Linked DNA regions of Macaca mulatta. The protein of the gene in region 1 purifies or fractionates together with the protein of each later gene. This does not show direct contact. Links are inferred from orthologs where the notes say so. Each region holds a gene or a part of one and is shown in the gene's direction. Other genes may lie near its edges.

Evidence for each region.
Region 2: the proteins of MTMR4 (region 1) and DNAJC10 purify together in Homo sapiens (affinity purification with mass spectrometry; 3 studies listed by BioGRID and IntAct, counting the BioPlex papers as one, with this or other methods). This does not show direct contact. The link is inferred for Macaca mulatta from reciprocal best matches to the Homo sapiens genes MTMR4 and DNAJC10.

The regions. Positions count from the first base shown.
Region 1 is NC_133421.1:51,494,683-51,498,508, forward strand, and holds part of MTMR4 (phosphatidylinositol-3,5-bisphosphate 3-phosphatase MTMR4), read left to right. Parts: intron 1-1,137; coding exon 1,138-2,536; intron 2,537-3,826. UniProt on the Homo sapiens protein: Lipid phosphatase that specifically dephosphorylates the D-3 position of phosphatidylinositol 3-phosphate and phosphatidylinositol 3,5-bisphosphate, generating phosphatidylinositol and phosphatidylinositol 5-phosphate.
Region 2 is NC_133417.1:87,664,431-87,668,256, forward strand, and holds part of DNAJC10 (dnaJ homolog subfamily C member 10), read left to right. Parts: intron 1-609; coding exon 610-772; intron 773-2,516; coding exon 2,517-2,567; intron 2,568-3,826. UniProt on the Homo sapiens protein: Endoplasmic reticulum disulfide reductase involved both in the correct folding of proteins and degradation of misfolded proteins.

The DNA.
Region 1 (3,826 bases):
TCTGAGGCTTAGAGAAGTTAAAGTCACACAGCAAAGATGTTGTTAAATTGGGATTTGAGCCCTGCCTATGGGACTCCAGGAACTCTAATTATAACGACTGTTTTTGCCTTCCTGGAATTTCATACCATTAAAAAAAAATCAAAATTGGTCATAAAAGTTATATCAAATATGTATAAAACATTTAAGTTTCAAAAATCAATTACTTAAAATAAGCTGCGTTGTAACTCTGCCTTTGGGGGATTTTTCCGCATGGGCTGAACTGACTGAGCCATCTAAAAATAGGAGGCCAGTGAAGTCTCTACTGTTTCCCTGGTGAATTTCCCTCAAGTTTTCATTGCTCTAAGGACTTTGAACTGCATTAATAATCAGGATGGCCATTCTTGAAAATGTCCCTTAACACGTCTGGTATATATGAATGCCTCTAGAACTCTGAGTGCTATATACCAGGGGAAGTTTCCATGGGGCCTTGGGAATCAGAGGAGCACACCGCTGCTAAGTGGTTATAAAGAGCAGTGCTGAGGGAGTTGTGTTGTCTTAATAAAGTTTGTGGTTATTATGTTTGTGGTTGGTTGCCTATGTTTTGAATTCTCGTAGCATCTCTACAAGGTATGATTTATTATCATCATTGTATAAAGGGAGAGACCAAGTATCTGGGAGGTTAATTTACTTATTTGTAGTCATGTAGCTAATTAGTGTCAGAGCCAATATGTTCTAGCTCCAAAACCCGTCTTCTTTCTGTTTTATTGTGATGGAGGCAGTGAGATATTGGGTTTGAGTCTCGGGTATAGTCCTGGCTGGAACAATAGATTCAGAAGGCATTGGCATAGAAGGCAGCTGAAACCATTGTAGTGGTTGAGATTGCCCAGGGAGACTGGTAGGTTGAGTGCTGACAAAAGCTGAGGATAGATTTTTGGGTTCCAGAGGACAGGGTCCATGTCTTACACTTTTTTTACAGAGTAAACTTTCAGTGAACATTGGTTATTTGTGATCTTAAGGGTCATTATTGTTAAACTTAAGTGTTCTTAAGTGTCATTTTTTCTAAACTCTCGCTTTGATATTGCTCCATTGATTCAGCTCCATATATTGTATTGCAAGTGCCCATCTCCTGACCCGGAGGTGTTATATTTGTCATTCCAGATTACCTAAAACCAGATCCATGGATGATCTTCTTTCTGCCTGTGACACAAGCAGCCCCCTGACTCGTACATCCAGTGACCCTAACCTGAATAACCACTGTCAGGAGGTCAGGGTAGGCCTGGAGCCCTGGCACAGCAATCCTGAGGGATCAGAGACAACCTTTGTGGACTCTGGGGTAGGAGGTCCTCAGCAGACTGTGGGAGAAGTGGGTCTTCCTCCTCCTCTGCCCAGCAGCCAGAAAGACTACTTGAGCAATAAACCTTTCAAGAGTCACAAAAACTGTTCTCCAAGTTACAAATTGCTTAATACCGCAGTGCCTCGGGAAATGAAGAGCAACACCTCTGATCCTGAGATCAAAGTCCTGGAAGAGACTAAGGGACCAGCTCCCAACCCTTCTGCCCAGAATGAGGTGGGTAGGACTTTAGATGGCACAGGGGAGCCACCTGAACATTGTCCTGAAACAGAAGCTGTCAGTGCACTCTCCAAGGTCATTTCTAATAAGTGTGATGGAGTTTGTAATTTTCCTGAGTCTTCCCAGGACTCTTCTACAGGTGCGCCCCAACAGGCCCAGCCAGACTCCTTGCTAGGTGTGCCCTACAAATGTGTTCTCGATCACAGCCTCAGCACCCTTTGCAACCCACCAAGTGCTGCCTGCCAAACTCCTCTAGGCCCAAGGGCTGACTTCCTCAACCAAGATCCCTCAGGGTCTGTGGCAAGTATCTCCCACCAGGAGCAACCGAGTTCTGTGCCAGATCTGACTCATGGGGAGGAAGACATTGGTAAAAGAGGAAGTAATAGGAATGGGCAGTTATTGGAAAATCCTCGCTTTGGGAAAATGCCATTGGAATTGGTCCGGAAGCCAATTTCTCAGAGCCAGATTAGTGAGTTCTCTTTTCTAGGGTCCAACTGGGACAGCTTCCAAGGGATGGTGACTTCATTCCCAAGTGGGGAGGCCACCCCTCGGCGGCTGCTTTCCTATGGCTGTTGTAGCAAGAGGCCAAACAGTAAGCAGATGCGGGCCACGGGGCCCTGCTTTGGGGGCCAGTGGGCTCAGAGAGAAGGTATGAAGTCACCTGTCTGTTCTAGTCATTCCAATGGACATTGTACTGGCCCAGGAGGAAAGAACCGGATGTGGTTGTCCAGTCACCCAAAGCAAGTCTCTAGCACAAAGCCTGTTCCACTGACCTGTCCTTCTCCAGTGCCTCCTCTCTATTTGGATGATGATGGACTCCCCTTTCCCACGGATGTGATCCAGCATAGGTTACGGCAAATCGAAGCAGGGTACAAGCAAGAGGTAGAGCAGCTACGTCGACAGGTGCGTGAGCTTCAGATGAGGCTGGATATCCGTCACTGCTGTGCCCCTCCAGCAGAGCCTCCCATGGACTATGAGGATGATTTTGTAAGTAGTCACCAACTGCCATACACCCATTATTTAGTCTGTTCATCCAGCCTTCCCTCCATTCAGCATTTATTCGTTGGGTACTTGCTGTGTGCCACTGAGTTAGGTGCCTGGACTATAGGATGAAAAACAAGTAAGCAATTAGAATGATGTTTTTAAGTGCTATGATTGAGGAGGCATCGGGTGTTAGAGGGCTGGAATGGAGTGAAACATCAAGGAAGGCTTTCTTGAGAAGGTAATGCTTGAGCTGAGTGCTGAAGAATGTGTGATATTTAGCTAGGTAGACAGTGAAAAGGAAACACCATTTGCAGAAGCATCGTGGCAATAGGTACTCCAATGATATGGCTTAAAAGGATGGGACATGCGAGTGTATATGTGTACATGCATGCATACACACTTACACTGGGGCTGTAAGAGACAGATAGGGTGGTGGGAGCTGACATTGGAGAAGTAGGTGGAGATTAGAAGGGTCAGCTTGAGTGCCCTTCTTGTTTGGATTTTACCCTTAAGGCAATAAAATTTTAGGCCAGTGTATAATATGATCAGAGTTGTACTTTAAGAAAATGACTCTTACACTCTTGCAACAGTGTACAATTTTTTTTTTTTTTTTTTTTTTTTTGAGATGGAGTCTCGCTCTGTCACCCAGGCTGGAGTGCAGTGGCGCGATCTCAGCTCACTGCAACCTCCGCCTTCCCGGGTTCACACCATTCTCCTGCCTCAGCCTCCTAAGTAGCTGGGACTACAGGTGCCTGCCACCACGGCCGGCTAATTTTTTTTTTTTTTTTTTTTTGTATTTTTAGTAGAGACAGGGTTTCACCGTGTTAGCCAGGATGGTCTCAATCTCCTTACCTCGTGATCCACCCACCTCAGCCTCCCAAAGTGCTGGGATTACAGGTGTGAGCCACTGTGCGTGGCCCAACAGTGTACAATTTTAATGAGTCAGTTGAGACCCAGATTGGGAGGCTGGTAAGGTCATTTTGGAATAATCCAGGTGAGAGATGAAGACTATGTAGGCTGTGCAGTGTTGGGCAGCCTCAGGTTCTGGCACCATAGTGCTTGGGGAGCTTCTAGGAGCCAGCTTCCTCCCCATGGTATCTTGCCATTTTCAGACACTTTCCTTTCTTCTGTTAAGGTGCTCCCCACTTGCCTGCTTCTCACTTCTCTGGTGCTTTAAACAGTAATCAACAAACCTTTTTTTTTTTTGTAAAGGGCCAAATAATAACTATTTTAGGTTTTGTGGGCCATACAGTCTATGTTGCAACTACTCAGCTCTGGTGTTGTGCAAAAGCA
Region 2 (3,826 bases), on another chromosome or scaffold:
TGCGTCACTACTGCCCAGCTAGTTTTTGTGTTTTTAGTAGAAACGGGGATCTCACCATGTTGGCCAGGCTGGTCTCGATCTCCTGACCTCAAATGATCCACCCTCCTCGGCCTCCCAAAGTACTGGAATCAGTTTTGGGGTGTTTTCTGATATTGGCTTTTATGTAATTATTTGATGGATTGGGGCACATCCTTTTTTAATAAGTTGATTTTGCCTTAAATAGAAAAATAACCTATAAATGTATTGATTTATAATTGTTATAGGAGTAATAAATATGAAATTAAGAGTTTCAACAGGCTTATTAGTTTCACTCAGCTGCATTTTTTAGGAAAAATAACTTACATGGTCTGATAACATCTGTCAGCCTTTTGAAGAGTCAATTATTATTTCATTACTTTTCTTACTTTTTTTTTTTATTGAAGATTATAGTTTCTCAAAAAATACTTCATTTCAACCCATGGTAACTCATGTCATGTTGTATTACCCCTCCTCATGTTGGTATGTGGTCTCCCAGAAGTCACTAGATTAATTAAACTTACATATATTTTTTGAAGGAAACTTGGATTGTGTATCTGAAATAATTGTATTATATCTAATATTTTTTAACAGAATAACCCAAATGCACATGGTGATTTTTTAAAAATAAATAGAGCATATGAAGTACTCAAAGATGAAGATCTACGGAAAAAGTATGACAAATATGGAGAAAAGGGACTTGAGGATAATCAAGGTGGCCAGTATGAAAGCTGGAACTATTATCGTTATGATTTTGGTAAGGTGATACAATATTACTTATGAAATGTTTTTTATCTGAGTAAAAGAAAAGTGAATTCTGTTTCACCACTTAAGTTATATATTTAATCTGTGTCACTTTGATTAGCTCCTTTTAATTTGCTGTGGGAGTGAAATTTAAAAGGAAAGTCAGTGGGTATACAGAGATGATCTGTACAGATACGAAGTTGTATTGGTCAAATCTTGTTAAATACTTTTAAAATAAGGATTGTTATTTAATAAAAAATATGCATTCATGGACTGCATAATGACATTTCACTTAGCAATGGACTGTATGTAGGAAATTGGTCCCATGAAATTATAATACCATATTTTTACTGTAGCTTTTCTATGTTTAAATACAAAGATACTTACCATTGTGTTACAGTTGCCTACAGTATTCAGCAGTAACATGCTGTACAGGTTTGTAGCCTAGGTGTGTAGTAAGATATGCTATCTAGGTTTGTGTAAGTACACTGTGTGATGTTTTTGCAACAACAAAATTCCCTAACCACATATTTCTCAGAATATGTCCCTGTTAGTAAGTGATGTATGACTATATATTTGCATTAGGGGTAGTTAAATATTTCTTTCAGTATTTTTTAGTATTAAATAATATTTCTTTCAATATATTTTAGAGCATCATATTTTCCAAGAAAGGCTAAACTTTAAGTTTAATAATGATCTCTTCAATAGAAATGCCATCCTTCTCATATGGAACCCTTATTGATGTTTTAAGGTGCTTTGGCCTTCGGTTGACATTAAGGTCAATACCTTGAAACATTATCAATAAAGGTTGCATATGAGAAGGACGAAAGGTGTTCTTTTTCTTAAACATGAAGGAAAAAATAAGGTGGAAGGAGGAAACAAAGTAAAGGAACCAAGGAAGAAAGAATGTAAACACACAGCATTTTAAATTTATATCTGGAGGATTTGCTTTTAGTAAATATAAATTTTCTTTTCAAAATAGTATTTTCAAGTATATTCTCTACACCTTGATAGTCTATATCAAGAGTTAGCAGACTGCGTTTCATAGGCCAAATCTGGCTTGCCATTTGCTTTTATAAATAAAGTTTTATTGGAATGCAATTACATTCATTTGTTTACATAATATATATGACTTCTTTCACACTTTGAGAGCAGAGTTGAGAAGTTGTGACAGAAGCCATACATCCCACAAAGCCTAAAAAAGTTATATTTACTAAATATTTGTGTCTGCCTCTGCAAATATTCCAAACTTTTTAGCAGAAGATATTCTAACATGATACCATGTGTTAAAAACCATATAATCTGAAACTTGAATGAGGTCTGTAGTCTAGTTAACAGTATACCACTCTCAATTTCCTGGTTTTTGATATTATACTGTAGCTAATTAACATGTCACCATTAAAGGAAGGTGAGTAAAAAGTACACAAGAGTCTATATTTTTGCACCTCCCTGAATCTAATTATTTTTAAAACCATAATATAAATTTTCTATGGAGATGAAATTATGTGAATATTAGGAACTACCACACACACACCTATGAGAGTCTGTATCAAAATTCTAGTATCTTTAGATCACCCTAAATATATTGATAGTATTATTTACTTTTTTTCCACTTAAGTTGTTGCATATTCTCTAAGTTTGAGATTTAATATAGTAGTTTGATTTTTTTTGATGATTAAAATGAGTAATCTATTTTTATGTGGCAATTTATATAGTGAAGTTTTGATTTTATAATTTTTATATACTTTTAAAATTAGGTATTTATGATGATGATCCTGAAATCATAACATTGGAAAGAAGAGAATTTGGTAAGTTTGTGGGCTTAAGGTTTTATGAAACTTAATACAAGTTCGATCTCATCTGAAACTCTTGGGGATATATATGTTTGAAATTTAGAAATCTTTTGGATTTTCGAACAGTAATAATGTAATATACTGTATATTAAATATTTCTAGCAGAATGTGGGGAAGTGTACCATAATAAAAACATTAATATTTCTGTAGCAAAATGTGTAAGTATATACTAAATAAAAGAAATTTAAAAATCAGTTCAGATCAGGTTTGGATGCCAAATGAGCTTGCTACAAACTTACAGCAAAATTTCTTAGAGCTTTTTGATTTTAGAGTTTTTGATAAAGGTATAGTTATTTTGGAAGTAGATTTAATTTGATTGGCAACTTGTGTGAAATGCCCATAAAAATACAGTTCTGCATTTTCCATTGCATTTAAGAAAATTGTATACCAGAATAGATTCTTATACTTTCATCCCTTTGTACGGTAATAATAGGTTTATTTTTTATACTTCAAAGCAATAAATTATACTTCAAATTTCAATTTTATATTAACTCTATCACAATTGCATTTAATTTGGAAAACTAAAATACGAACGGGCGCAGTGGCTTACACCTGTAATCCCAGCACTTTGGGAGGCCAAGGCGGGCGGATCACTTGCGATCAGGAGTTAGAAACCAGCCTGCCCAACATGGGGAAAACCCATCTCTACTAAAAATACAAAAATTAGCTGGGCGTGGTGGCACCCACCTATAATCCCAGCTACTCGGGAGGCTGAGGCACAAGAATCGCGTGAATCTGGGAGTCGGAGGTTGCCGTGAGCATGATGGCACCACAAAAAAAAAGAAAACTAAAGTAGCCTACCAGTCACAAAAAATACATATAAATCTATATAATGTTTTTCATATATTATTATCGTTAAAAATTTATTACAGCTACTTGATTATATACAGTTTGTTCCTTCTGAGCAAGGGTGGCTTTTTTTGTTATTTTTGTTTGTTTGTTTGTTTGTTTGTTTGAGATGGAGTCTTGCTTTGTTGCCCAGACCAGAGCGCAGTGGCACAAACTTGGCTCACTGCAACCTCTGCCCCCCGGGTTCAAGCGATTCTCCTGCCTCAGCCTCCTGAGTAGCTGGGATTACAGGTGCCCGTTACCATGCCCACCTAATTTTTGTATTTTTAGTAGAGACATGGTTTCACCATGTTGGCCAGGCTGGTCTCGAACTCCTGACTTCAGGCGATCCACCCACCTTGGCCTCCCAAAGTGCCAGGATTACA